Linked DNA regions of Macaca fascicularis. The protein of the gene in region 1 purifies or fractionates together with the protein of each later gene. This does not show direct contact. Links are inferred from orthologs where the notes say so. Each region holds a gene or a part of one and is shown in the gene's direction. Other genes may lie near its edges.

Evidence for each region.
Region 2: the proteins of COPE (region 1) and ARCN1 purify together in Homo sapiens (affinity purification with mass spectrometry; 4 studies listed by BioGRID and IntAct, with this or other methods). This does not show direct contact. The link is inferred for Macaca fascicularis from reciprocal best matches to the Homo sapiens genes COPE and ARCN1.
Region 3: the proteins of COPE (region 1) and COPG2 purify together in Homo sapiens (affinity purification with mass spectrometry; 5 studies listed by BioGRID and IntAct, with this or other methods). This does not show direct contact. The link is inferred for Macaca fascicularis from reciprocal best matches to the Homo sapiens genes COPE and COPG2.
Region 4: the proteins of COPE (region 1) and COPG1 fractionate together in Homo sapiens (co-fractionation; 6 studies listed by BioGRID and IntAct, counting the BioPlex papers as one, with this or other methods). This does not show direct contact. The link is inferred for Macaca fascicularis from reciprocal best matches to the Homo sapiens genes COPE and COPG1.
Region 5: the proteins of COPE (region 1) and COPZ1 purify together in Homo sapiens (affinity purification with mass spectrometry; 3 studies listed by BioGRID and IntAct, with this or other methods). This does not show direct contact. The link is inferred for Macaca fascicularis from reciprocal best matches to the Homo sapiens genes COPE and COPZ1.
Region 6: the proteins of COPE (region 1) and COPB2 purify together in Homo sapiens (affinity purification with mass spectrometry; 4 studies listed by BioGRID and IntAct, with this or other methods). This does not show direct contact. The link is inferred for Macaca fascicularis from reciprocal best matches to the Homo sapiens genes COPE and COPB2.
Region 7: the proteins of COPE (region 1) and SACM1L purify together in Homo sapiens (affinity purification with mass spectrometry; 4 studies listed by BioGRID and IntAct, with this or other methods). This does not show direct contact. The link is inferred for Macaca fascicularis from reciprocal best matches to the Homo sapiens genes COPE and SACM1L.

What each region holds. Positions count from the first base shown.
Region 1 is NC_088393.1:19,305,119-19,309,102, reverse strand, and holds part of COPE (coatomer subunit epsilon), read left to right. Parts: intron 1-617; coding exon 618-699; intron 700-2,036; coding exon 2,037-2,192; intron 2,193-3,984. UniProt on the Homo sapiens protein: The coatomer is a cytosolic protein complex that binds to dilysine motifs and reversibly associates with Golgi non-clathrin-coated vesicles, which further mediate biosynthetic protein transport from the ER, via the Golgi up to the trans Golgi network.
Region 2 is NC_088388.1:117,450,500-117,454,483, forward strand, and holds part of ARCN1 (coatomer subunit delta), read left to right. Parts: intron 1-3,424; coding exon 3,425-3,688; intron 3,689-3,984. UniProt on the Homo sapiens protein: Component of the coatomer, a cytosolic protein complex that binds to dilysine motifs and reversibly associates with Golgi non-clathrin-coated vesicles, which further mediate biosynthetic protein transport from the ER, via the Golgi up to the trans Golgi network.
Region 3 is NC_088377.1:172,077,323-172,081,306, reverse strand, and holds part of COPG2 (coatomer subunit gamma-2), read left to right. Parts: intron 1-1,408; coding exon 1,409-1,597; intron 1,598-3,984. UniProt on the Homo sapiens protein: The coatomer is a cytosolic protein complex that binds to dilysine motifs and reversibly associates with Golgi non-clathrin-coated vesicles, which further mediate biosynthetic protein transport from the ER, via the Golgi up to the trans Golgi network.
Region 4 is NC_088376.1:154,168,677-154,172,660, reverse strand, and holds part of COPG1 (coatomer subunit gamma-1), read left to right. Parts: intron 1-1,718; coding exon 1,719-1,794; intron 1,795-2,034; coding exon 2,035-2,127; intron 2,128-3,117; coding exon 3,118-3,204; intron 3,205-3,984. UniProt on the Homo sapiens protein: The coatomer is a cytosolic protein complex that binds to dilysine motifs and reversibly associates with Golgi non-clathrin-coated vesicles, which further mediate biosynthetic protein transport from the ER, via the Golgi up to the trans Golgi network.
Region 5 is NC_088385.1:61,172,894-61,177,415, forward strand, and holds the start of COPZ1 (coatomer subunit zeta-1), read left to right. Parts: upstream 1-1,641; 5' UTR 1,642-1,659; coding exon 1,660-1,833; intron 1,834-4,522. UniProt on the Homo sapiens protein: The coatomer is a cytosolic protein complex that binds to dilysine motifs and reversibly associates with Golgi non-clathrin-coated vesicles, which further mediate biosynthetic protein transport from the ER, via the Golgi up to the trans Golgi network.
Region 6 is NC_088376.1:42,202,254-42,206,237, reverse strand, and holds part of COPB2 (coatomer subunit beta'), read left to right. Parts: coding exon 1-20; intron 21-106; coding exon 107-213; intron 214-1,173; coding exon 1,174-1,317; intron 1,318-2,296; coding exon 2,297-2,427; intron 2,428-2,647; coding exon 2,648-2,855; intron 2,856-3,984. UniProt on the Homo sapiens protein: The coatomer is a cytosolic protein complex that binds to dilysine motifs and reversibly associates with Golgi non-clathrin-coated vesicles, which further mediate biosynthetic protein transport from the ER, via the Golgi up to the trans Golgi network.
Region 7 is NC_088376.1:108,647,246-108,651,988, forward strand, and holds the end of SACM1L (phosphatidylinositol-3-phosphatase SAC1), read left to right. Parts: intron 1-2,212; coding exon 2,213-2,349; 3' UTR 2,350-4,094; downstream 4,095-4,743.

The sequences.
Region 1 (3,984 bases):
TCGTTATTCCTTTCCGTGGGGGTGACTTGCCGTCACTCAGCCCTTCCTTGCAGTATGTTGCCAGGGAGGAGGGCCATGGCTGTCTGTGCCTCAGTTTCTCTCTCTGCAGTAGTGGTGGGCCTGTCCCACAGGGTGAGAGTGGGCTTTATGGAGGGAGTGGAGGTCGTGCCCGGAGGAACATGTCGCTGGGCCAGCTTGTAACTGTGCCATGGGGCTGGCGGGGCCTGCACGTGGCGTCACCAGGTCGGAGGCCATGGCTGGTGGTCCAGGACTCCCCTGCTGCCGTTTCCAAAGCCCTTGCCTCAGAGTTGTTCATGCTGTAGCTCCGTCGCCCTTCCCTGCGTTCCATCTTCCGTGGAGCGAGTCTCTCCCGAGCCCTACCTTGTGCCAGCCACCTCGGGGGTCCGTAGCTGGCTCCAGTCCCGCCTTCCCGGGGCCTTCACGTGGTGGGGCGGGCAGGGCAGCTCGGGCACTTCGTCGTGGGGTATGAGCACGCAGGGGAGCACGTAGTGGGGGCCATCCCCGGGCTCTGGCGGGCCCCAAGTGGGAACAAGGCAGGGATAGCCAGGCCAGGGCTCTCGGCCGCTCAGCCCCTCCGTCCTCTGTCCCCACCCCAGGAAGGAACTGAAGAGAATGCAGGACCTGGACGAGGATGCCACCCTCACCCAGCTCGCCACCGCCTGGGTCAGCCTGGCCACGGTGAGTCCTGGGCCACGAGGCAGGCGGGCATTGTGGGCACCTGGCTGAGTAGGGTCTGTGGGCACCCCCACCTGTGCCCAGGCTGCCGGCCACTCCAGTGGGGCTCCAGGATCAGGCCATGGCCCCCTGCCAGCCTGGCACAACTCTCAGCCTTCACTCCATTCCGGGCTTCTCACAGCCAAGCGGCTTGGCCAGAGGCAGAGCGATGGTGGGGACGGGGACGGGGTTCCTGAGCCTGAGGCGCAGGGGGACTCGAGGGTCTGGGTTGGCCTGGCAGCCCCTCCTCCCCCCAGGGCTTCCTGGGGTTTTCTGCGACTCAGCTTTGCTCTCCAGGGTCCTGGTCCCCAGCCAGGGACAGGGTTCAGTGTTCCCATAGCAGCGGTGGAGATGTCCTCAGCTCCCAGGCCTGGGCACCTCTGCCTGGCAACACCCCCCTCCTGGTTTCTGGGACTTGGCCCCCTTCTGAGCCATTCTTTTGTGCAGGCCTGTTAAAATACACTTCCTGGCTGGGCACAGTGGCTCACGCCTGTAATACCAGCACTTTGGGAGGCTGAGGTGGGTGGATCATGTGAGGTCAGGGGTTCGAGACCAGCCTGACCAACATGGAGAAACCCCATCTCTACTAAAAATACAAAATTAGCCGGGCATGGTGGCACCCACCTGTAAACCCAGCTACTTGGGAGGCTGAGGCAGGAGAATCGCTTGAACCTGGGAGGTGGAGGTTGCGGTGAGCCGAGATTGTGCCATTGCACTCTGGCCTGGGTGACAAGAGCAAAACTCTGGGGGGAAGAAATGTGCTCCCCGTCCCTGCCCACCACGGGGCTGGAGCCTCACCCAGATGGACTTCCAGTGGCCGTCCAGTGTGGTGGGACAGGCCTCGGCAGCCCTCTCGGGTAGTTTGAACTGTTTTCACAGCCTGCCTTGACCTCAGGCTCCCCCTGCAAGTATCCCACAGTCCTGAGCAAGCGGGCAGGTCAGAGTTGCTGGTCACAGAGCTGACTCATCCTCCTCCGATGTGCCCGGTGACCCAGTGGTCCCCACTCAGACCCTGGCCCAGCCACCTGTGCCCCTGTGCCCTGGAAGCCCTAAATTCCACCTCTGTGTACCCAGCGCACTGGGAGCCGGGTAGGAGGTGAGGCAGGAGGCGGCCGCGAGTCTTTAGGCCCCGTCAGCAGAGTACAGGTTATGAGTGGTCCCCATGGTGGAGTGGCTGTGCCTTGAACCGGGCATACCAGATTTGTGTCTGTGCAGTGCAGAGCCCCCTCTTGGGGAGGGGGCTGACGGTGGAAGGGCCTGGCGGCCGCAGCACAGATGATGATGTGGGACCCTCCCTGCAGGGCGGTGAGAAGCTGCAGGATGCCTACTACATCTTCCAGGAGATGGCTGACAAGTGCTCGCCCACCCTGCTGCTGCTCAATGGGCAGGCGGCCTGCCATATGGCCCAGGGCCGCTGGGAGGCCGCTGAGGGCCTGCTACAGGAGGCGCTAGACAAGGTAGGCACAAGGCTGTCCCAAAGTGGGAACGGAGGGAAGGCCAGGCGGCCGGAGGGCGGGGTCAGGGCAAACAGAAACAAGTGTAGCAGAGATGCCCTGCGTGTGCGTGTGGCCCCACAGGGCTTCTGAGGCCCAGTCAGCAGCGAGATCCACAAAGCAGGGATCGCACCTGCAAAGAAATCCAGATTCCGGCCTCACAGAAATGGGGCATCTGGGCAGCCTGGGCCTCAGTGGTCTGTCACCTCAGCTGCCTGGCCCTGCATGTGGGACCCCTCACCTGAGTACATATTCAGTATTGGAGAGACACTCCCAGTCCTTATTTAGGGGACAGCGTGCTGTGGCCAGGAGCCCAGGCTGGCTGCAGTCGTCTCCTGTCTGATGTCTGCAGTCTTTTCTTGTCTTTTTTTGAGATGGCGTCTCGCTTTGTCACCCAGGCTGGAGTGCAGTCGTGTGATCTCAGCTCACTGCAACCTCTGCCTCCTGGGTTCAAGCGATTCTTTTGTCTCAGCCTCCCGAGTAGCTGGAATTATAGGCGCTTGCCACCATGCCCAGCTCATTTTTGTATTTTTAGTAGAGATGGGGTTTTGCCATGTTGGTCAGGCTCGTTTCAAACTCCTGACCTCAGGTGATTCACCTGCCTCAACCTCCCAAAGTGCTGGAATTATAGGCGTGAGCCACCATGCCTGACCATCTGCAGTCTTTATGAAGAGTTTATGTTATTTTAAATTTAAAAAAAAATACTATTTTTTGTAGAGACGGGGTTGTTCTTGCTGTGTTGCCCAGGTTGTTCTTGAACTCCTGGCCTCCCAAAGCACTAGAATTACAGGTGTGAGCCACCATGCCCAGCGGATTTTTTTCTTTTTTTTAATTTCTTTTTTTTTTTTTTTTTTTTTTTTTGAGATGGAGTCTTGCTCTGTCCCCCGGCTGGAGTGCAGTGGCACAATCTCAGCTCACTGCAAGCTCTGCCTCCTGGGTTGATACCATTCTCCTGCCTCAGCCTCCTGAGTAGCTGGGACTACAGGCACTCGCCACCACACCCAGCTAATTTTTTGTGTTTTTAGTAGAGACGGGGTTTCACTGTGTTAACCAGGATGGTCTCAATCTCCTGACCTCATGATCCGCCCACCTCGGCCTCCCAAAGTGCTGGGATTACAGGCGTGAGCCACCGCGCCCGGCCTGGGTTATTATTTTTATAATCAAAAAGGACATCAAAGCTTTTTCCATTTTGGTGAAACGGATTTTGGGTTTTATTTGTTTGTTTGTTTGTTTGTTTGTTTGTTTTTTGAGACGGAGTCTTGCTCTGTCACCCAGGCTGGAGTGCAGTGGCCGGATCTCAGCTCACTGCAAGCTCCGCCTCCCGGGTTTACGCCGTTCTCCTGCCTCAGCCTCCCGAGTAGCTGGGACTACAGGCGCCCGCCACCTCGCCTGGCTAGTTTTTTTGTATTTTTTAGTAGAGACGGGGTTTCACCGTGTTAGCCGGGATCGTCTCTCGATCTCCTGGCCTTGTGATCCGCCCGTCTCGGCCTCCCAAAGTGCTGGGATTACAGGCTTGAGCCACCGCGCCCGGCCTATTTGTTTGTTTTTTGAAACAGGGTATGCCACCACACATGGCTAATTGTTGTATTTTTGGTTAGAAATGGGGTCTCACTGTGTTGTGCAGGTTAGTCTTGAACTCCTGGGCTCAAGCAATTCTTACCCTCCTTGGCCTCCTAAAGTGCTGGGATGATAGACGTGTGCCACTGTGCCTGGCTGAGAAACAGTTTTAATCTACTGACAAACACTGGTGAAGCCC
Region 2 (3,984 bases), on another chromosome or scaffold:
AATCTTAATTTAGAAATAATTTTTTCCATTTTTATATTCATAAAGCAATTTTGTCTAGATTCTTTATGAACATCATATCACTTGGGCCACTTTTTGAATCATCAGTTTGCTATTTAGCAGTTTTGAATCCATGTGTGATATATTGGCAGTTTGGGAAATTTTATCCCAAGTCATAAAAACCCATTTATATAATATTAGGACAGTTACTTTTAAAAGGAATATTTATAACTGATATTCAACACATGAAATTGTGAGTTCTGGCTAGGCGTGGTGACTCATACTTGTAATTCCAGCACTTCGGGAGGCCAGGGTGGGCTGATCACTTGAGTCCAGGAGTTCAAGACCAGCCTGGGCAACATGGTGAAACCCCACCTCTACTGAAAATACAAAAATTTGCCAAGCGTAGTGGCACCTGCCCATGGTCCCAGCTCCTTTCAAGGGGCTGAGGCAGGAGGATTGTTCAAGCCCAGAAGTTGAGGCTACGTGAGCCACGATCGCACCATTGCAGTCCAGCCTGTGTGACAAAGTGAGACCCTGTCTCCAAAAAAAAAAAAGAAATTGTGAATTCTGATCCTCAGGATAATTACTAAATCCAGTGACCTTTCGTTGCTACCACATGCAAAACTAGCATAGTTTGAAGATAAGGTGTATCCCAGACAACTCTTTTAGTTCAATATAGTCATTGAGGGAGCACCTTTAATATGACAGACTGTGGAAGGATTCAAAACTACATAACTCTTTTTAAAAAATATATAAGTATTCCTTCCATAAAAATATATTACTATGATAGCATATTTTCACACCTAAAAATTAGCATTAATTTTTTAGTATTATCAATTATTCAATCACTGTTCAAATTTGATTTGTACATTGTGATGGACTGACATGTCTAAGTCTCTTTTAATGTGTGTTTGTATTTTTAGTAGGGATGGGGTTTCTCCATGTTGGTCAGGCTGGTCTCGAACTCCCGGCCACCGGTGATCCACCCGCCTCTGCCTCCCAAAGTGCTGGGATTATAGGTGTGAGCCACTGTGCGTGGCCCAAGACTACTTTTTCAAAACTGTTTAGGGCCTATGCCCTAAAAAGGGCATAAGCACGTTGGCTTATGCCTGTAATCCCAGCACTTTGGGAGGCCGAGGCGGGTGGATCACTTTGACCTTAGGTGATCGAACTTAGGAGTACTAAGTTCTAAAAATACAAAATTAACTGGGTATGGTGGCATGCACCTGTAATCCCAGCTACTTGGGAGGCTGAGGCAGGAGAATTCCTTGAATCTGGGAGGTGGAGGTTGCCGTGAGCTACGATCACGCCATTGCACTCCAGCCTGGGCAAAAAGAGTGAAACTCCATCTTAAAAGGAAGTTAAAATAAGAAAAAAAAATTAACTGGGCGTAGTGGCAGGCGCCTGTAGTTCCAGCTATTCGGGACCACTTGCTGTTGAGAAATAAGCATGATGGTGATTGTCTCCCACATACCCTAATTACCTATTTTTAGTGGATAAGGATGTTATGTTCTCCTATAATATAAAACTATTGATGTATTGAAACTATAAGAATATTAGGCCGGGCACAGTGGCTCAAGCCCGTAATCCCAGCACTTTGGGAGGCTGAGACAAGCAGATCATGAGGTCAGGAGATTGAGACCATCCTGGCTAACACGGTGAAACCCCGTCTCTACTAAAAAATACAAAAAAAACAACTAGCTGGGCGAGGTAGCGGGTGCCTGTAGTCCCAGCTACTCGGGAGGCAGAGTCAGGAGAATGGCGTAAACCCGGGAGGCGGAGCTTGCAGTGAGCTGAGATCTGGCCACTGCATTCCGGCCTGGGCGACAGAGCGAGACTCCGTCTCAAAAAAAAAAAAAAGAAAGAAACTATAAGAATATTTATTTAAATTGGCTAACTTGTTGTTCTTCAAGCTACTCACCTGTAGAGCTTTCTATAAAGCTGAGAAGCCTGACCAGTAGGATTTTGATATTTCAGAGGTTATATCCTAGCATTGAGGCTTCCTAAATGTTTTAATAGTGTTTGTTACTTGTGCTTGTGAATGAGCTCTTGGGTTCCTGCACTGAGGGGACTGGACTTAATTTTCTTACTCCCCTGCTCATGGCATTTGAGGTCTCCGCTGCTTCCTTTGGTACTTTATTTGTTTTGTTTAGTGAAATGCCAGATGCTAAAATAGGGGCTATTAGGTCTTGATCATTGCCTAATATCAAAACCTATGTGAAACATTGAGCCATTTAGATTTTTATTTTGCAGATTGTTTGGATATCTGGGAGTAAGACAGTGTGAATGGGAAAGTTAGTCAAGGAGCAGAAGATAAATTTAGACTCAGTAGCTTGGGTTCATATTCTAGGTAAAAATAATAAATGTAAGGGGCTTCTTATGTCTTTAATATTTTTAATCTGCCTGATCACACTTCAGCATGGGCTTGGAAATATCTTGCTCTTTTTAGAAAAAGTTTTAAGCTGTTCTTTGTGGGTTTGCCAAAGCAGAGAGCAACCCAGTTCTGAGTCACAGGAGACTCATTAATATATGTATGGTCTTGGAAAAAGGTCATTTCATTACACAGTTTTTCTATAGGTATGTTATTGAAAAACAGGAATAATAGCGTTAGTTTCCTCTACCTTAGCTTTGTCTTATAAATTACGTATTACAATGAAAAGAACAATGGAGTAAAAGTTTGAAACTCAGCATTCTTTTTTTTTTTTTTTTTTTTAAAGACAGAGTATTGCTCTGTTGCCCAGGCTGGAGGGCAGTGGCTCGATCTCTGCCTCCCGGGTTCAAGTAATTCTCGTGCCTCAGCCTCCTGAGTAGCTAGGATTACAGGTGCATGCTACCATGCCTGGCTCATTTTTGTATTTTTAGTAGAGATGGGGTTTTGCCATGTTGGCCAGGCTGGTCTCGAACTCCTGACCTCAAGTAATCCATCCACCTTGGCCTCCCAAAGTGCTGGGTTTACAGGTGTGAGCCACTGTGCCCGTGAAAGTCAGTATTCTATTGCTCGTCATGTCAGCTGGTCGTGGTAGCTCACGCCTATAATCTCAGCACTTTGGGAGGCCAAGGCAGGAGGATTGCTTGAATCTAGGAGTTCAAGACCACCCTGGGAAACATAGTGGTCTCTACTAAACTTTTTTAGTAGACACTGTCTCTACTAAAAGCTTTTTAAAAATTAACGAGGCTTGGTGGCACGCACTTGTAGTCCTAGCTACTCAGGAGTTCTTGAGCCCAGTAGTTTGAGATTGCAGTGAGCTGTGATCTTGCCATTGCACTCCGGCATGGGTGACAGAGTGAGACTCTGTCTTAAAAATAATACTACTACTAGTTCTGTCACTAAATAAATATGTCATTTTATGGAACATTTCCTGGGATGTTGAGAAAACAGATGTGAAGAAATAATAGTACTTATTTATGCATATGTTCCTGGCAGGTGCTCTTGGCAGCAGCGGTCTGCACAAAAGCAGGAAAGGCTATTGTCTCTCGACAGTTTGTGGAAATGACCCGAACTCGGATTGAGGGCTTATTAGCAGCTTTTCCAAAGCTCATGAACACTGGAAAACAACATACGTTTGTTGAAACAGAGAGTGTAAGATATGTCTACCAGCCTATGGAGAAACTCTATATGGTACTGATCACTACCAAAAACAGCAACATTTTAGAAGATTTGGAGACCCTAAGGCTCTTCTCAAGAGTGGTAAGAGTACTGCTATAATACTGGGTTCCACTTTTTTTTTTACATTTTGTGCGAAACTAGTTTTTCCTCCAAAGCAGCTGATGCTCACCAGTTTGCAGGCTCCTGCTCCCCACCCCAGCGACTTACTGCTGCAGCTCCTTGTTTATTCAGCAGACATTTATTGGGTGTCCTCTTAGAATATAGGTGTCCCAAAAGAATACGGGAACTACTCTTTCATTTCCCAGTTCTTAAGCAGTTGTTCTAATCTGCCGTTCTAGTTCTGATACTTGTTTGGTTGTGCTTTTTAGATAATGTTT
Region 3 (3,984 bases), on another chromosome or scaffold:
CAGTTTGGATTAGCCACCTTTCAGATGCTTAGTAGTCACATGTTGCTGTCGGCTACATTATTAGACTGTATAGATTTAGAGGATATAATACAGAAACACAGAATAAATTAAATAAACATAGAAAATGTAAATGAAAGTTAAATGTAGTAGAAGACTTGTCATAGGCAATACATAATTATAAATTAATTGTGTAAACAATTGAAGAAAAGAGAAGTTTAGAGCAGCCATGGAATAAACCTTTATAGAACAACAATTTAAATTGTTTTTAATTTATTTATTTATTTTGGAGACAGAGTCTCACTTTGTCTCCCAGGCTGGAGTGCAGAGGCGTGATCTCGGCACACTGCAACCTCCACCTCCCAGGTTCAAGCAATTCTCATGCCCCAGCCTCCCAAGTAGCAGGGATCACAGGTACCTGCCACCATGCCCAGCGAATTTTTGTATTTTTAGTAGAGTCAGGGTTTCGCCATGTTGGCCAGGCTGGTCTCAAACTCCTGACCTCAGGTCATCTGCCCACCTCGTCCTCCCAGAGTGCTGGGATTATAGGTGTGAGCCACCAGGGCCTAAATTGTTTTTAAAGAGTTGATACAGGTCCACAATCCCTCATCTCTAATCTTGGGGCCAGATGTGTCCCAGAATTAGCTTTTAGATAAATTTTAGAAAGGTTATATGGTGTTATATCTTATTTACTAACCCTAGTGGGCCTGGGGCAGCATCCCACCATTAAAACACATTAATGTTTTTGCACAAAACATATGACTATTCTTGTCAAGTGGTACAAATTAACAATTAAAGAGTTTCACATTAGTTTAGGTCATGTTTTGCTGTTAAATAAATTTTCATCCCAATGCTTTGCTTTCCAGAGTTTTTTCAGATTTTCCAAATTGTGGGTAAGGGATTCTATACCAATACTGGGATAGACAAAAAGATGGAACAACATCAACAAAAACAAGGACACAGGAGAATGGCTGACTATGTAGTAACCATAGATAATGCAGTTTGGCTGGAGTTTGCGTGTTGAAATGCAGAAGTATTTTTTAAGTGCTAAGATATTAACAGTCTTTGTCGAGCACTGTCTACTATGCTAGATCCCGTTCTCAGTGCTCCTAACATCTAATAGACATATATGAACACGTGTACTATAAGGAAATACAGGCCAATTATAATTTTTTTAAAATGGTAATGTTAGAAAGGTTATAGGAACCTAACAAAAGAGAGTACGATGCTATACTCTGGCTGTTGATCATTTATTAAAAGATATACCTTGTTAACTGGAGCCATTCTTTTTGAAACAATGACTTCTAACTTATCCTGTCCTCTTTGGATTGCCAGTTACCTCAATTAAAATTTAAGTTCTGGCCTTTATCAAAAGCAATTTGCGTAATTTTTTTTCTTGCCCTTCCACAAGGTGGCAATGAAGCACCCCTCTGCTGTTACTGCCTGCAATCTGGACTTAGAAAACTTAATCACAGACTCAAACAGAAGCATTGCTACCTTAGCCATTACTACACTCCTCAAAACAGGAAGTGAGAGCAGTGTGGACAGGCTCATGAAGCAGATATCTTCTTTTGTGTCTGAAATCTCAGATGAGTTCAAGGTAAGAGTTTAAACATGATCATGTTTTCTCCCAGTCTGTTGGCTGCCTATTTATTTTCTTAACAGTGTCATTTGAGAAGCAGTTTTAAATTTTTATGAAGTCTAATTTATCAATTTTTTTCTTTCATAGTTATTACTGTTCCCTAAGAAACCTTTATCTACTTATTTTCTCATGCTTTAGGCTAAATGCTTTATGGTTTTAGATTTTACATTTTAGGCGGTAATCCAAGTTGAATTCCTGTTTGTTTGGTAAGTTCAGTATTTTTTCCATACCGCTATCTACTGTATTCCACCATAATTTGTTGGAAAGACTTCCTTTTTTCTATTGGAGTGCTTTGGCACCTTTGTCTACAAAGCAAATACCCATATAATTTTAGGTATATTTTTGGGCTTCTTATCATGTTACTGAACCGTTTGTCAATCCAGTACCATTACCACACTAATATTGATTAATGTAGCATTATGGTACCTCTTAAATGTCAAGTAGTGTGGTCTTCCAACTTTTTCTTTTTTAATATTCTGGTTCCTTTGCATTTCCTATGAAATTTAGGACTAGTTTATCAATCTCCACTAAACAAAGCCTACTAGGATTATGACTAGGATTGTGTTGAATCTCTAAATCAATCTGGGGAGAACTGACATCTTAATTTATTATTTTTCTATTTCATGAATATGGTATATCTCTCCCTTTAGACCTTTAATTTCTCTGAGCAGTGTTTTGTAGTGTTTACTCTAGAGGTCTTGCAAGTCTCTTGTTAAATTTATATCTAAATATTTATGCTTTTGATATGTTATTAAAAATTTTTATTGTTTACTACTAATGAAAAACTTTTAAAAAATACTTTTCCATATTAACTTGGTATCCTGTAACCTTGCTGAGTACCTTTAGTGGTTCTAGTCATCATCATACACATTATTATCTATATAATCTATATAAATAATTATGCCATTTGTGAATAGAAACAGTTTTACTTCTTTATATCCAATCCAAATGCCTTTCCTTTATTTTTCTTGGCTAATTAAAAAAGTACTTCCAGAATAGGGTTGTATAGAACTGGTGAGAGTATGTCAGAGATGATAAAAAAAAAAAAATAAATTTCAGTTAAAAGAATAAAAGTAGAAACATTGTATTGCTTCATTCTTTCTTTATACTCAGTCAAGTAGTATAACTAACCCTATTTACTCTCTACTTAGTATACATCCAGACTTTCAGAAAACAAACTTTACCTGTATATTCAAGCAGACAGTTTTGTGCATCTGGTGTAGCAGTTGCTTGTTCCAGTTTTTTCAAATTGCTTTTGTAGGAGTGAGTTTTTTCCTAAAGACATATATTTTGTTATTGAGATACCTTGACTTTGATTTTGACTGCCTGTGGTAGTGGGGTCTTTGTGTGACCTCTTGAGCAGTACACAGGGTCAGTGGTATCTGATTCCTCAGTGACTTAGGGTACAGGCATTAGTTGAGGTCGTGGTGAAGTTTAGCTGGGGACCTAGAAACATAGTCTTTGGGCTCCAGTAGTGCCAGCAGTGCACCACGTGTGCCTATTTTTAGGCCCAGCTTACATTGGCTCCAGTGTTGGTGGGTACAAGAGGGCTATCCTTGGGCCTCCACATGGCTTGCTAGAAACAAATATTGAGAGCAATGAGCCCAGTGTGTGAGTGGGTTCTTCGGCCCTTGGCAGCTGGTGTGGTGTGGGCACTAGTGGTGTTGGAGCAACCCACAGGGTCACAAGCAGTCTGTGTTGGTATTGGTAGAAGCTGCAATGGGTTGGATAGGCTAGGTCCCAGTCCCACAACTGCCTGTAGCAGGGTGGTGAGTATTATGCTAAGTGTGTTTAGGAGAGCTTGTTATCCCCTGTCCCTCCCCCAGTTGGGTGACAGCTGCAGCCACATCATCATCATCTCAAACTCAGCCTGAGGGTGGGGCGTAGCCCAGCTTTAAACTCTCAAAATGATGCCAGCTGTGGGCTTGTGACTAGAAAGGGTGGGGACCCTTCAGGTGAGCAGCATGGGCAAGAAGCTGTGGGGAGTGTGGTCTGCTTGGGGCTTGGTCTCACAGCAGCCCATTGAAGAACATTGGATATTGTCATAACTATGCATGGGGGAACCTGGCTTTCCTAGTCCCTCCTTTGACCAAGTGGTGGCTGCAGCCACATCAACTTGAACTCAACCCAAGGTGGGGCACAGCCAGCATTAAACTCTCAAAATCGTGCCATGGACCAGGGAGCAGAGAGGGTGGGGTCCCTCCCAGGTATGCAGTGTGGGCAAGAAGCTGTGAGAAGTGTGGTCTGGTCACACGTCAGTCTGACAGCTCCCTGCTACAGAGCAGTGAGTATGATCCTAGATATGTATAGGATAGCCTGGTTTCCCTGCCCTCCTTGGCCAAGTA
Region 4 (3,984 bases), on another chromosome or scaffold:
AAGCGGTATACTGCTTACTAAGTGACTGGTGTCTGCTTTAAGCTAAATGATTCAGGGACAGATGTGACTAAAGTGTAATCACTGCCCTTAAGAACTGGGGCTCAGTTCTCTTATTTCTTCCTGCCACAGTTTAGGGTGGGGGGGTCATACATTGATTTGTAGGTTCAGTTAGAAAATATTGTCTGTCAGTCCCTGTGTGTAGCTCTGGGGATGTAGCAGCAACAAAGATAGACATAGCCTCTGTAGCCCCAGAATTTATGGAGAAATAACCAGGCATCAGGCCATTAAGGTAGGGTGTAATATGGTTTATCACGGAAGTATTATGGGCTATGAGAGGAGACCAGAAGAGCATCCAGCTGGATTTGAATTAGGAAAGTCCTCCTAGGGGAATGATCCAAGTAGAGTCCTGAAGGATGAGTAAGAAGAAATAGGACAGGCCAGGCGCAGTGGCTGACACCTATAATCCCAACACTGTATCCACAGTGTAATCCATAGGCCGCAATGGGCGGATCACTTGAGGTCAGAAGTTTGACACCATCCCGGCAAACATGGTGAAACCCCGTCTCTACTGAAATAAAAATTAGCCAGGTGTGGTGGCGTGCACCTATAATCCCAGCTACTGGAGAGGCTGAGGCAGGAGAATTGCTTGAACTGGGGAGGTGGAGGTTGCAGTGAGCTGAGATTGTGCCACTACACTCCAGCCTGGGTGATAGAATGAGATTCCGTCTCAAAAAAAGAAGAAAAAAAGAAGCCCGGCACGATGGCTCATGCCTGTAAACCCAGCAGTTTGGGAGGCCGAGGTGGGTGGATCATGAAGTCAGGAGTTTGCCGGGTGCGGTGGCTCAAGCCTGTAATCCCAGCACTTTGGGAGGCCGAGGCGGGCGGATCACAAGGTCAGGAGATCGAGACCACAGTGAAACCCCGTCTCTACTAAAAATACAAAAAATTAGCCGGGCGCGGTGGCGGGCGCCTGTAGTCCCAGCTACTCAGGAGGCTGAGGCAGGAGAATGGCGGGAACCCGGGAGGCGGAGCTTGCAGTGAGCCGAGATCGCGCCACTGCACTCCAGCCTGGGCAACAGCGTGAGACTCCGTCTCAAAAAAAAAAAAAAAAAAAAGAAGTCAGGAGTTCAAGACCAGCCTGGCCAACACAGTGAAACCCTGTCTCTACTAAAAATACAAAAATTAGCCAGGTGTGGTGGCACACACCTATAATCCCAGCTACTGGGGAGGCTGAGGCAGTAGAGCTTGAGCCTGGGAGGCAGAGGTTGCAATGAGCCAAGACCGCGCCCCACTGCACTCCAGCCTGGGCGACAAAGTGAGACTCTGTCTCAAAAAAAAAATTAAAAAAAAAAAAAAAGAGTAGGACAGAGTGGAGGTGAGGGGTGAGGAGTGCTATAGGCTAAGGAAACAGCACATGCAAAGGCTGGAGAGGGGTGAGCATAGCCAGTTGGGGAAATTCAAGGAGTTACATTCAGGTCACTGGCAGTAGGAAGCTATGGAAACTTTTTAGCAAAAGCAGGGGGATGACCTGTTTGGTTTTGAGTTTTATGAAACTCCCTCCAGCAGCTGTGTGGAGTTAGACTTAGAGGGGCAAGAATAGAGGGAGAGCACTGGTTAGGAGGCTTGTGTAGTAATCTGGGCAAGGGTGGTGATGGGAGCTGGAGAGGAGTGAGCAGGCTCAGGCTTTCTGCATGCTGACAATGCCTTCTTCCTTGCAGCCTAACAAAAGACATGACTGGGAAAGAAGACAACTACCGGGGCCCAGCCGTGCGAGCCCTCTGCCAGATCACCGATGTGAGTCATGCCGGTCCTTCCCTGCTTCCTGGCCTCTCAGTTGAGGCTCTCGGCATCATCTTTTGCATGCTTTGGGGTGTCCCCTATCTCACTGAGCCAGGTGATGTGGGGTGGAGGTGGTGTGCAGGAGCACATGAGAAACACTTCCTCCTCATACTCCTATCTGCCCCCATTTCTGCACTCCTGAGAGCTGCCAAGGACTGACTGGATCTCCTTCCACCCTGCTTCTTTTGCCCACAGAGCACCATGCTGCAGGCTATTGAGCGCTACATGAAACAAGCCATTGTGGACAAGGTGCCCAGTGTCTCCAGCTCTGCCCTCGTGTCTTCCTTGGTGTGTAGCTGCTGCTGGAGCCCTGCTGGGGGTGGGGTAGAAAACTGAAGAAAATTTCAGAGTCACATTCCAGTAGGAAAAAAGAAAGTGTTTCCTTCTTTTTTATTTTATTTTATTTTTTTAACTGAGACAGAGTCTTACTCTCACCCAGGCTGAAGTGCAGTGGCACGCTCTCGGCTCACCAACCTCTACCGCCAGGGTTCAAGTGATTCTCCTGCCTCAGCCTCTCGAGTAGCTGGGATTATAGGCACCGGCCACTGTGCCCAGCTAATTTTTGTGTTTTTAGTAGAGACAGGGTTTCATCATCTTGACCAGGCTGGTCTTGAACTCTGGATCTCGTGATCCACCCACCCCCCTTGGCCTCCCAAAGTGCTGGGATTGCAGGCGTGAGCCACTGCTGCTGGCCTTTTTTTTTTTTTTTTTTTGAGACAGAGTCTCACTCTGTTGCCTAGGCTAGAGTGTAATGGCTTGATCTCAGCTCACTGCAACCTCTGCCTCCCTGGCTCAAGCCATTTGCATGCCTCAGCCACCTGAGTAGCTGGGATTGTAGGGGTGCACCACCACGCCCAGCTAATTTTTGTATTTTTGGTAGAGATGTGGTTTCACCATGTTGGCCAGGCTGGTCTTGAACTCCTGACCTCAGGTGATCCACCCGCCTTGCCTCCCAAAGTGCTGGATTACAAAGCATGAGCCACTGCACCTGGCCAAAATAAAGTATTTTTGTATCTGTAAGCCTGAGAGTCCCACCCTTCTCCGTGAAGAGAGCCAAGGAACTCTGGGGTGATTGAAGAGGGTCGTGGGTGGATGGCGTTGACCCATGCCTTGGGCAGGGACAATGAGGGTGGGAGCATCCTGAGTTTGTCCATGGTCTCTGAAGACCAGGACAGTGGCGAGCCCCTGAGCTATGTCTGAGGGAGGACCAGAACTGGGCCCAGAAGGTGTGATGGGGACACTTCCTACCTGCCCCTTAATGTGCCCTGTTGCCCACAGCACCTGCTGAAGTGCAGTTTTGATGTGGTCAAGCGCTGGGTGAATGAGGCTCAGGAGGCGGCATCCAGTGATAACATCATGGTCCAGGTGAGATGTGAGCAAGGGAGTGATATTTAAAACACTCAGGCAGGTGGTAAGGCACTGGCCGGTTGGCATGGCCACTTGCCACTGAGATCCTTGTGACTCCTGGCCATAGCAGGCTTTAATCTTTTTGTCATTGGATCATGGGAAGAATTGGGAGGTCCTGGGTTAGAGAATCCAGGGTACCACTTCGGGGGCTTGGGTTAGAGACTGCTTACCAGCTGGTGCTGAAATATTCAAGTGTTTTGATAACCAGTTGAGTATTGTTTTGGAGCAGATGATGTGGCAAACTTGGCCAAGGCAGGCAGAGGGCTGCCTAAATTTAGGCCTTTGCCAACTTGGCTTTGTTATGATGTGTGGAATTATCTTGATGAGGCTTTCATCCACTTTACTCTTCCTCGGTGACCTAGGCCAGCCGTTCCTTTTATCTCTCTGGGTCGTGATTTCCTTGTCTGTAAAATACAAATGAAGGTTACTGCCTCACAAAGCAGCAAGGATGAGCCGAGATCATGCATGTAACACATGACCCATCTGGGGCCTGCCTGTCGGCGCTCCCTGTGTGTTTATGTATTCCCTTCATCTCTCATCTGTCTTCTCATCCTTTGCATGAGTCTTGTCTTCAGGGCCAGCTGTGGCCCCTTAAAACACTTATGAGGGCCAGATAAGCTTCCCACATAGAAGGCATCCACAGCTGCCATAACTTCGCCCTCAAATGTCGCTTCTTTAGGAAACAAAGAGTATCGAGGACAGGAAATAACTATGAGACCTCACATCTTTAGAAAGGGA
Region 5 (4,522 bases), on another chromosome or scaffold:
GATTCTGCTCCGACTATTAGAAAAATTCCTGGGTGGCTGGGCGTGGTGGCTTATGCCTGTAATCCCAGCACTTTGGGAGGCCAAGGTGGGTGGATCATCTGAGATCCGGAGTTGGAGACCAGCCTGGCCAATATGGCAAAACTCCGTCTCTACTAAAAGTACAAAAATTAGCCAGGGGTGGTGGGCGCCTGTAATCCCAGCTACACCGGAGGCTGAGGCGGCAGGGAGAATCGCTTGAAACTGGGAGGCAGAGGTTACAGTGAGCCAAGATCACACCACTGCACTCCAGCCTGGGAGACAGAGAGAGACTCCATCTCAAAAAAAAAAAAAAAAAAAGAAAAAGAAAGAAAAAGAAAAATTCCTGGATAAGTCTGGAATCTCTTCTTGGAGAGCTCCTAAGGACATAATTTTCAGAGATGAGGGAAAAAAATCCCTGAGGGATAATTAAGGCAATAGGTATCCCTGCCCTAAGAGGAGTCAGGGATCAGGAAACCAAGAGATAGGGGAAAGCCAAGCTTCATCAAAACCATTCCCTATTGTGAAATCGTTGCATTCAGTAAACTTCTCTTTTCTCATTTTGCAACGGCTCGTTTCTTTCCTTTTCTTTTTCTTTCTTTTTTTTTTTTTTTTTTTTGAGATGGAGTTTTGCTCTTGTTGCCCAGGCTGGAGTGCAATGACGTGATCTTGGCTCACCGCAACCTCGGCCTCCTGGGTTCAAGAGAGTTTCCTGGCTCAGCCTCCCGAGTAGCTGGGATTATAGGCATGCTCTACCACGCCCGGCTAATTTTGTATTTTTTTTTTTTTAGTAGATACGGGGTTTCTCCATGTTGGTCAGGTTGGTCTCGAACTCCCGACCTCCGATGATTTGCTCACCTCGGCCTCCCAAAGTGCTGAGATTACAGGCTTGAGCCACCGCGCCCAGCCACAACGGCTTGTTTCTATTGGAAAACCCCAGACCTTACTCCCTATAACCCTCCCTTATTCTAATCCCTTTCCCCGTTTGTCCCCCCAACTCCATCTCCAAAGACGATTGAGCCAAAGTTAGCTTTTACAAACTCTGACTTCTCATGTTCCTCAGGCCCAGCAAAGCCTGGAACTCCACCTTAGGGAGATTGTTACTGCGACTATCATCTTCTGGCAGTCTTGGTTTATGTAGTTAACATGTTGGGCCTTTCTTGGCTCTACTCTATGGTTGTGCAGACTTTCTGTGAGGATGCTAAAGTGACCCGAGCGAGCCTGAGGGAAGGGCTAGCCACAGAGATCATGGACCTAGGGGGCGCTGAAAATAGGGATTATTAGGGGAGGATCCCTGTTAGGAAGCGTCAGCGTTAAAGGCTAAGGAGACACAGCGCCCCCTAAAGAGAGTGCGGTTTAAAATCGCTAAATCAGGCCGACAATATCACGTGTCCCTGGCCCTACCAATTGAAAATTAACAATCGCTTCCTCCGTTCCCCATGGAAACAACCCCGCCCCACCGACCCTCCCGCCCTAATAAGTCGTGAGGTTTTGGCGTTTTATTGAGTATTCAAACTGACAATCAAACACCTGTGCCTTCTGGTTGGATACTCTGCTTCCGGTAAGCAAGTTAGTACAATAATTGGTCAACAGAGCAAGTCTTACCCAATGATCCTTATCCTAGGCAGGGCCTAATGGGGACGTATGGCCAATCAGCGGTGGCGTTACTTTTGCGGCTCCACGTCGGCACCAGCTGCGGGGCAAGATGGAAGCGCTGATTTTGGTAGGAGCTGGAGGGGCAGCAGAGATGCTGTGCTGTCCACAGGGGCCGGGAGTCAGGGTGCAGCCCGAGTGGGAGACGGGGAAGGAGAGTTCCGGGTAATTCTTGGGGACTGACGGTTCTGCCGACCCTTGGAATAAGTGTGTGGCCTAGTGTAGGAGCTAAAGCCTTGGTTTAGAGTAGGAAGCCCTGCCGGGGAGAGGGCATAGAGTCGATGGAAAGTTAAAGGTAGCACATGGACTCCTTAGGATACACAGACCTGTAAGCGTACTGGATTAGGACTCTTCAGGTTTCCCCTTATTTTTAGCATTGTGGATGATATCCTGATTTTAATTTACCAAAACCACCAAACTAGCCCCATATTATGAGAAAAGAATACAGATGTTTTGTCGTTACAGGCTCCTCCTGGTGGTTTCCCAAGTTTGACTCTCCATTGCTGATTCCCTGCCACATTCTTTCAGGAAACTGTTTTCTCTTGGGTTTCCTATTAATCCCTATTAAATAGGTTTATCATGATAAAGAATCAGTGTTTCATCAAAGTTCTGGGATACCTGATAAAGTTAGCATGGATTGTGGAATATTTTTTCCAGACTCCTTATTCTGTTCTCCTTTTCTCTACCCATTGGACCTTAGGAATTCTTTTTTTTTTTTTTTTTGAGACCGAGCCTTGCTCTGTCGCCTACGCTGGAGTGCACACGTGGCACGATCTTGGCTCACTGCAATCTCCGCCTCCCGGGTTCGAGCTATTCTCCTGCCTCAGTCTCTTGAATAGTTGGGACTATAGGCGCGTGCCACCATGCCCGGCTAATTTTTTTTTGTATTTTTAGTAGAGACGTGGTTTTACCATGTTGGCCAGGCTGGTTTCGAACTCCTGACCTCAAGTGATCCGCCGGCCTCGGCCTTCCAAAGTGCTGGGATTACAGGCGTGAGCCATCGCGCCTGGCCAGGAATTATTTTATTTTATTTATTTATTTATTTATGAGACGGAGCCTCGCTCTGTCGCCTAGCCTGGAGTGCAGTGGCGCGATCTCGGCTCATTGCAATCGCCGCCTCCCTGGTTCACGCCATTCTCCTGCCTCAGCTTCCCGAGTAGCTGGGACTACAGGCGCCTGCCACCATGCCTGGCTAATTTTTTGTATTTTTCTTTTTTTTTTTTTTTGAGACGGAGTCTCGCTCTGTCGCCCAGGCTGGAGCGCAGTGGCCGGATCTCAGCTCACTGCAAGCTCCGCCTCCCGGGTTTACGCCATTCTCCTGCCTCAGCCTCCCGAGTAGCTGGGACTACAGGCTCCCACCACCTCGCCCGGCTAGTTTTTTGTATTTTTTTTTAGTAGAGATGGGGTTTCACCGTGTTAGCCAGGATGGTCTCGATCTCTTGACCCCGTGATCCGCCCGTCTCGGCCTCCCAAAGTGCTGGGATTACAGGCGTGAGCCACCGCGCCTGGCCAGGGATTCTCATTGTATGATCTAGGATGCTAATTTCTCCCTTTCTGGTTACATGAGAATTGTGGTCGCTACAAGGAGTGTATTAGCCCTCTTGTCCATATGATGCTTTATGCTTGTTCTAACAAATAAAATACCTGTTACCCCTTATTTAGAACTGAACCAGATAATTTCTCTCAAAAGTGCCCTATTTTGCGATTTGGAGGGGTGTGTGTGTGTGTATGTGTGTGTGTGTGTAGGTAGGTAGGTAGGTAGTTAATGTAGGAATTTAACTCCCAGCCTCCTTCGTTAATTGGCTCGAACTCCAGGCCTCTTTCCAAAGAAGCTTGTCTTTTATTTTCCTTTAGATCTCCTATGCATACATATTCAGATCCTCGTCAGATAAAAGAATAACAGTTTTTAATTCCTCTCTTTCAGCATGTTAAAGACAGATAATTCCGACCATCCTGGCTAACACGGTGAAACCCCGTCTCTACTAAAAAATACAAAAAACTAGCCGGGCGAGGTGGCGGGCGCCTGTGGTCCCAGCTACTCCGGAAGCTGAGGCAGGAGAATGGCGTAAACCCGGGAGGCGGAGCTTGCAGTGAGCTGAGATCCGGCCACTGCACTCCAGCCTGGGCCACAGAGCCAGACTCAGTCTCAAAAAAAAAAAAAAAAAAGAGACAGATAATTCCTTATGTCAGTTGGTCAAATATAGGTAAAAAGCTTAAAATCTGAGTAGTTTTAAATATTTTCTGTACCAGGCAGTTAACAAATATTCTTTTTTTTTTTTTGAGATAGAGTCTGGCTGTGTTACTCAGGCTGGAGTGCAGTGGTACTATCTTGGCTCACTGCAACCTCCGTCTCCCAGAATCAAGCAATTCTCGTGCTTCAGCCTCCCGCGTAGCTGGAATTACAGGCACGTGCCACCATGCCCAGCTAATTTTTGTATTTTCAGTAGAGACGGTTTCACCATGTTTGCCAGGCTGGTCTGGTCTTGAACTCCTGACCTCAAGTGATCTGCTGCCTTGGCCTCCCAAAGTGCTGGGATTACAGGTGTGAGCCACTGCACCTGCCCAGTTAGCAAGTATTTTTTTTTTTGTTTTTGTTTTTGTTTTGGAGACAGAGTCTCACTGTGTCATCCAGCCTGGAGTACAGTGCTGTGATCTCAGCTCACTGCAACCTCTGCCTCCCGGGTTGAAGCAATTTCTCCTGCCTGAGCCTCCCGAGTAGCTGGGACTACAGGCACACACTGCCACGCCTGGCTAATTTTTTTGTATTTTAGTAGAGACGGTTTCACTGTGTTGCCCAGGCTGGTCTTGAACTCTTGAGCTCAGGCAGTCTGCCTGCCTCAGCCCCCTAAAATGC
Region 6 (3,984 bases), on another chromosome or scaffold:
ACCAGATTTTGGAGCAGAAAGTGAGTGTGGTCTACGTATTACATTTTTAAATTCTTTGTAATGGCTCCAAAATGCCTAAGCAAAACTCTTTTTATGTTCCCTTTAGGTATCTATGGCGGCTTCTTATTGGGAGTCAGATCTGTAAATGGCTTAGCTTTCTATGACTGGGACAATACAGAACTCATACGAAGAATTGAAATTCAGCCCAAACATGTGAGTTTCCCCTGTTGTTGTTTTTGGAATATTTATTTTTGTGATGAGTTCTGGGTCCCTAAGGCCAAGAAGTGTCTTGTACCCTGCTGTCCCTCTTCCATTATCAAAAGCCATTTAAAATATAAAACAGCACTTAGAATTTAAATAACTTTTTAAAATACACATCGTCTACGGCCTCATTAGGGTACGACAATCCTGATTTTCTGAGCAATTGGAGGTAAGTGGCAGTGCCATTTTGACAGAGGAAAAAAGCATGCTTTGACAACAAGAAGTCAGAGAATTCTTGACTTGGAAATGCCTTCTTCCACGTAGTTCAGAAAACCTTTTCATATGTTTTGATGATAGCTGCTTGAACTTGAGGTGACCATCTCCAGTGACAAAGTGTTTACCTTTAGAACTGCCCGCTGCTTTGACAGTTTTCACTATCAGGAGATTATCTGTGGAAACAAACCAGCTTTTCTGGGGTCTGGTTCTAGAGTGTGCATTCTCAATGGGCGTAAAAATTGGCTTGGGGGGGCTTACTCTTTATGAATAAAGCATAGCTATACATATGTGTATGCATTACATATGTGTATCTGTGGTATTAACATTTCATTGGGGGAGGTGATTAGAAAAATGTCCAGAAAGACTTCTAGGGAGGGTGGGTGAAAATGAAAAAAAAAGAAAAAGTGATAAACACTGTTCTAGAGCAATAGGGAACAGGCTGCTGGTCCTCTATGTAGCACGTTCAGTGTTTACTGACAGCTGTCCTTTCCTGTCTCACTTTGGACTTTCTATTGCTAGGCTAAATAGCATAGCCCTGCCCTGGCCACCCTCCCAAATAATGCCACATAACATTGTTAAGTGAATACTTATTATCTTGATATAAGAAGATAAATGTTGTAAGAAATCAAGTATGTGCAGTTTGTCATATCCACTCAGAAATCCAAATCAGTTGTCTATGATTTTGTTGTGTTGCAGATTTTCTGGTCTGACTCTGGAGAGCTAGTCTGTATTGCTACTGAGGAATCATTTTTTATCCTTAAGTATCTGTCAGAAAAAGTCTTGGCTGCACAGGAAACACATGAGGGAGTTACTGAAGATGGCATTGAAGATGCCTTTGAGGTAATTGGATCAGCACATCGCTTTTAGCTTTGTATTTAAATGATTTATATTCTTACAACAGACTTTACTGATTTTAACATTTCGTTATAAATTAGGTTTGAGGAGACAGCATTTAAGGATTTCTGGTGAAATGTGAAAATTAAAATCTTGACTCATAGATCAAACTTTGAAAATACGTTTAAAAGAAATTTGTGCTTTGATTTTAGGAATTCTTTAGACTTACTTTGATATCTTTCAGTAAAGAAATTGTAGTCGTTTTGGTCCTAAGACTATTTAGTCAGTGATTTAAATGAGCTCCCAAATGGTAAATCATTCATTATGCAGATATCCTAGATTTTGTGAAATACTTAATATTTCATTTTCAAGTTATGAAGGGTCTAAGTTTAGATCAGTGTTCTTTTATATCATGGTTTTGGCCCAACAATGAGATTTCACATTACAAATACTAATCTAGGAATCTGTTCTTTTTTTTTTTTTTTTTCTGTTTTGAGCCTAAGGGTTATATTGAGTAGGAATCTGTTCTTAAATGAGGAAAGAAATTCCAGCCAGTTGCAGTGGCTCACACCTATAATCCCAGCACTTTGGGAGGCCAAGGTGGGCAGATCACTTGAGGTCAGGAGCTTAAGACCTGACCTTAACTTGGCATGGTGAAACCCCGTCTCTGCGAAAAACATAAAAATTAGCCAGGCATGGTGGCAGGCACCTGTAATCCCAGCTACTTGGGAGGCTGAGGCAGGAGAATCACTTGAATCCGGGAGGCGGAGGTTGGCAGTGAGCAGAGGTTACACCACTGTACTCTAGCCTGGTTAACAGAGACTCCATCTCAAAAAAAATTCCAAGGAAAATTTTTCTTTCTGGAAATAGGAAGGATTTTACTTTGCACTCCTTATTCTACCATATCACCCTCAAATATATTCAGCTTTTTATTGAGAGATTTCTGATGTTGGATAAAGTAATAGTCTTTATTTTCTTTCTGCAGGTTCTTGGTGAGATTCAGGAAATTGTGAAAACGGGGCTTTGGGTAGGCGATTGCTTCATTTACACAAGTTCTGTGAACAGATTAAATTATTATGTTGGAGGAGAAATAGTCACCATTGCCCACTTGGACAGGTACCTGCGTATCATTTCGCATTTGTCCTAAATTTTAGCAAAATCTGTTGTTGGCTTGATAGGCTGATTTTTCAGTGGAATAGTTTTAGTAGGTTGCCTATTGTTAACCAAAAATGTATCAATCAGACGGGAAGGTTTTGAGCAAGAGGCAGGTTGGCGGGGCGTGTGTTTGTGTAATTGCAGATTTGAATTTCTAACTTGGTTTCTGTGTCTTTTATAGGACGATGTATCTCCTAGGCTACATTCCTAAAGACAACAGGCTTTATCTAGGGGATAAAGAATTGAACATCGTTAGCTATTCCCTGCTGGTTTCAGTCCTGGAATACCAGACAGCCGTCATGCGGAGGGACTTTAGCATGGCTGATAAGGTCCTTCCTACCATTCCAAAAGAACAGAGGACCAGAGTTGCACACTTTTTGGAAAAACAGGTAAGAGGTTTTGTTTTGTGTTTTCTTTTTGTTTTTTAAAACTAGCAATTTGAAAGCAAATTAGTATGGAGTTGAAAAACTTTATTTCTTAATTGCCAACTGATTTCTGTGGCAATAGAATTTCTCCTGTGAGTTTAAGGCACTTGTTACAGCATATGATGCACCCTTCTTACACGCTTCCTTCTGCTTTCTCAGTGCCCCCTTTAAATGTTAGAGGTGATTTATCAGTCTTTCTCTTTTTATTATTATTATTATTATTATTATTATTATTATTATACTTTAAGTTCTAGGGTACATGTGCATAACGTGCAGGTTTGTTACCTATGTATACTTGTGCCATGTTGGTGTGCTGCACCCATCAACTCATCAGCACCCATCAACTCGTCATTTACATCAGGTATAACTCCCAATGCAATCCCTCCCCCCTCCCCCTTCCCCCCTCCCCATGATAGGCCCCGGTGTGTGATGTTCCCCTTCCCGAGTCCAGGTGATCTCATTGTTCAGTTCCCACCTATGAGTGAGAACATGCGGTGTTTGGTTTTCTGTTCTTGTGATAGTTTGCTAAGAATGATGGATTCCAGCTGCATCCATGTCCCTACAAAGGACACAAACTCATCCTTTTTGATGGCTGCATAGTATTCCATGGTGTATATGTGCCACATTTTCTTAATCCAATCTGTCACTGATGGACATTTGGGTTGATTCCAAGTCTTTGCTATTGTGAATAGTGCTGCAATAAACAGATGTGTGCATGTGTCTTTATAGCAGCATAATTTATAATCCTTTGGGTATATACCCAGTAATGGGATGGCTGGGTCATATGGTACATCTAGTTCTAGATCCTTGAGGAATCGCCATACTGTTTTCCATAATGGTTGAACTAGTTTACAATCCCACCAACAGTGTAAAAGCGTTCCTATTTCTCCACATCCTCTCCAGCACCTGTTGTTTCCTGACTTTTTGATGATCGCCATTCTAACTGGTGTGAGATGGTATCTCATTGTGGTTTTGATTTGCATTTCTCTGATGGCCAGTGATGATGAGCATTTTTTCATGTGTCTGTTGGCTGTATGAATGTCTTCTTTTGAGAAATGTCTGTTCATATCCTTTGCCCAATTTTTGATGGGGT
Region 7 (4,743 bases), on another chromosome or scaffold:
TTCCTCTTTTAACCTCCTTAATACATAGGGAGTTATTTTTCAGAGGTAGTATACCTCTTTGGTGTACCTGACATACCCAGTGTGTATTTGTTTTTGGATGGTAATGATTTGCATACTTGTTTGTCTTTTTCACTGGATCAGCAACTTTTTGAGGGTCTGTGTCTTACTCATTGCTTTGTCCAGGATATAGTAAACCCTCAGTAAATGTTTGCTGAATTAAGGACTCTTACTCCACCACCACCACTAATTCTGTCACCTTTTTGATAGGGAGGCTCAGTTACCTGTTCGTCTCGGTATTCCTCTCAGTGCTCAGCCCTGTAGACAGTTGTGATGTAGTTTTGACTAAATGCTGAAATGTTGAGTAGGGGGAAAGAGCCATCTTACTATTATTATAGTTAGCAAAATTTTTCTGTAAAGAGCAGGTAGTAAATATTTTTGCCTTTATGGATGGTGTGTGGTCTCTGCTGCACATTGTTTGTTTTTGTGTTTATAACCATTTAAAAATGTAAAAACCATTCTTACCTTACAATACCAAAAACAGGTTGAGACATAGGCATTGCCCGGGACGTGACTGCGGGTTTTGGGGCAGGAAGGAAGAGGCAGCATGTGCAGGTTCCTCAGCGGCCAGCCCTGCTCTCATTTTCTCTCTAGATCCTCTGCCTTCTTTCCTGAAAACATACCCAGTGCTTGCCATTTTTGGGGAGCCACTGTACTGTTAAATTAGTTAATTTTGTTGTTCTGACTATACCCACATTTACCTAAAGAACCTCTGGGGAGGCAGGAAAGTCAAGACCAAGGGCTCTGCCTGAATAAAACGGGTGATTCCTTTAGGGTGTGTCCAGCAGAGTGGCCAATAAGGAACTGCCCTTTTTTTGTCCAAGAAGAATTTTAAAACTCAGAGCCATGAAAATTAGCAGTTATGCAAATTTGAGTATATTTTGCATAAAAAGAGATTGGATGCTGTGGATAGTAACATCTCATGTCAGTTAATTGTTATAACGAACTTTGTGACATTTGGGTGTGGCAATATCTGATTTCTAGCTCCTGCTGTGGTTTTCAAAGAGAATAGAAAACAAATGTAGCATGATCTCTGAGGGCTTGTTAGGAAAGAGTCTGGAGACTGGTTTCTTCCCTGGTGTGCTCTCTCACTGGCCGTTATTCCCTGTATGTGTTTCTCCGTCTGCAGATGAGGCCAGTACTGTTGCAGAGAGAGAAGCTATTCTCTAGGTTCAGCTATTCAAGGAGTAAAACAAAGTAGATCTTTGCCCATTGGCCTGCTGCTAACCTTTATGAACTTCGGACTTTGGAAAATGCGTATCAGCAGAGTTGGGCTAAATATGTCATTCAAATATGTTATTGGCTGGGTGCTGTGGTGTGTGCCTATAGTCCCAGCTACTCAGGAGGCTGAAACAGGAGGATCATTTGAGCCCAGGAGTTCTGGTCTGTAGTGTGCTATGCTGATCGGATGTCCGCACTAAGTTCAGCATCAATATGGTGACCTCTTTGAGCAGGAGATCACCAGGTTGCCTAAGGAATGGTGAACCAGTACAGGTCAGAAACAGCAGGACAAAACTTTCGTGCTGATCAGTAGTGGAATCGTGCTTGTGAATAGCCACTGCACCGTAGCCTGGGCAATACAGCAAGACCCCATCTCTAAAGCAAATGTTACTGACTTTTGTTTTATATATTTATGTATGTGCAAAAAATACCCTACAAAATATATGTAACTTCAGAAAAGTTTTGGATAACTTATGTTTGGTATTCATAACTTATGAATATTAAAATTTTTTGTGCAGGTATTTTGATAATAGCTCATATCTGTTACAGAACTATAAATTAAACAATAGTTTTTTGTATTATTAAAATATACTAAAAGTGATTATTATTTGTATAATATATGAAATCGTTTAGTCCAGTGGTTCTCAAAGTGTAGCCTCTTGATCGGTAGCATCAGCATCACCTGGGAACTAGGAACTTGCTGGAATGCAGATTCTTGGGGCTCAACAGTTGATGCTTTATCAAGCCCTGCAGAAGATTCTGGTACTAGCCAGGGTTTGAGAACCACCGGTTTAAACCTTAATTAAGAGGTTCTTTATTTTTGCTGTGAATGTGCTAGTAAACTTTAATGTTGCCAAAATGTGCTAAACAGCTGAAAACTGGGTCTGATATCAACAAATGCCTTATTTAGCTTTTTGTTTCTTAATATCAACAGGTGACACTTGGACAGAAACACTGGCCTATGTGCTCTTCTGGGGAGTTGCAAGCATTGGAACATTTTTTATCATTCTTTACAATGGCAAAGATTTTGTTGATGCTCCCAGACTGGTCCAGAAGGAAAAGATAGACTGAATTTGTATTTGTGGAAAGCGGCTTGGCTTGGAAGATTCCATTGTGCAGAACTGGAGTCTTTACTGACCCGCTTTCCACATCAGCCCAAGGTCTTTTTAATGCCTTTATCCAAAAGCACATCTTGTGCTCCGTGCAGGATGATGACAGAATTGATCTGATGTTACTGCCTTGATGGTCTCTTTGCTATTGGGACAGTTAGATTTATAATTTGAAGCTATTCTGTAATTAAAATATAACCTGAATTCAGCTTGCAGAATGGAAGCTGAATCTGTTCATTGGATTCTATTGATTGTCAGTTTAATCAGCTGTTGCAGAATAAGTAATATATTTTAAAAACCTAGCTCCTTTCATTATTTAAAACAGTAAAATTATTTTTGTAGCTCAGTTTCATTATTGTCCTTGTAGAAGCAGTCACTGTTAGCAGGCATACTTTTCCACACATCTTTGGACTTTTCTTAAAAGTTCAGTAATAAGCTAACTGTGTTTATAAAATGTAAGTCTCTTACAGACATCAAGTAGTTTGATGAGACAGTCTGTGACTTCATGATAGGAAAGAGGAGGGGATGTGGTCTGGGGTTCTTTTAAAGTCTCTGGTGGGCTGCCTCATGACTTTAATCAGCTTGAGCTGCCAGTGCACCAGCAGTTTAGATGTGATGAGAGAATTCAGATATACTTTATCTTTTTAAAAAAGTGTAAATAAAATCAAAGAATGTAAAGTCTATCTCTTATGCTAGAGGTCCAAAGCCACCTCTGTTTTAAAGATTGCCCCAGTGTGGAAGATGCCCATGACTGGTCAGCTACTTCCTCCTGTACATTTTGGTTTCTTTGAGGGTCAGTCATTGAGACATGCAGGCCTCTGAGAGGGTCTTGTTCTAGATTTCATATTGCACTTGGGGGGCAACAGCTGCTTTTCCACGCATGGTACTCTTGATGCTTTTCACTCTGTCAAGGATTTTGTTGGCTGTCAATAAATGTGTCTAAAACTTAGTGCTTCCAGGTAGTTATAGTTCTCCAAATCAAGGACCAACTTAAACATTAATTTATGTGCAAAAACAAACCTGAAAAATATGCTTCGGAAACTGTGCATAGTTCTAATTGTAAGTCAGATTGTATATTCAAATTGTAATTAAGAGATTTAAATATTAGAACAGTATGTAAGGTAGTATAATTACCACTATTTTAAAACAATTCAATTAAACACTGCTACAATATTTCAGTGTTGTGCTTGAAAATATGTACAGTTTTTTTCCAATATTAATACCTTATGTTGTCCTTAAATATTTCTAAAAGCGCCTTTATTTCAGCATTACCTTTTTTTCATCATTATCTTTTGTAAAACATTGATACAAGTTGTTACTTTTAGAAACTCTAAAGGAAATAATAGCTGGAAAACCCTTTGTAGCTTAAAATCAGTCATTAAACTCACAATAGGGTAAGTAAATATAGCCACCTGTTAACATGTAAATAAGCATAATGTGTTCCAAAGATGGAATATTGAAACTTAGTTCATGTCTGCTGTAAAATATTATTTAAATGCTGCTGGGCATTTCACTTAAAGAACTTAATGTCAACAACTACAACAAAGACCAAATCTGAGCTGCTAATGTGGCTGCTTTGTAGGGAATGGACTAATCAGTGTGTTAGATCTTAAGGTATCAGTATTTCAGAATCCTGCGACGATTTTATTTCTAAATTCATGTACTGTATGTCCATAAGTGAAAATAAAATGTCATATTCTTTTCTAACTACTGTTGGTATCATTCATGTACTTTGAAAGTGATGTTTTTCTTTTTGATCTTAGAATATTAAAAATCATGCAGAGTGATACGGTTTGGCTCTGTGTCCCCACCCACCCAAATCTCATCTTAAATTGTACCTGGTGGGAAGTAGTTGGATCATGGGGGATGGTTTCCCCCATGCCATTCTCATCAGTTCTCACGAGGTCTGATGGTTTAAAAGTGTTTGGCATTTACCCCCTCGCTCGCTCGCTCTCCTGCCACCATGTAAGACGTGCTTTGCTTCCCCTTCACCTTCTGCCATGATGGTAAGTTTTGTGAGGCCTCCCCAGCCATGCAGAACTGTGAGTCAAACCTCTTTTCTTTATATGTTACCCAGTCTCAGGTAGTTCTTTACAGCAGTGTGAAAACAAACTAATACACAAAGCAATGCATGATCATCATAGAAAAATTGGAGTAAGCAAGCAAATCAGTAGCTTCTGCAATCTTGCTTTCCAGTTACCATCACTTAAGAAATTTTGTATCTCCTTATAGTTATTTTTTTTAGTTACAGAGAAACCCAGGGAAGTACTTAAATGTAATGTCTATAAAAAGGTGTCCCCCACCTTCAAACTGTGATTTGTTTTTCAAAATGCTATGAATCCCAGCTGATGTGGGA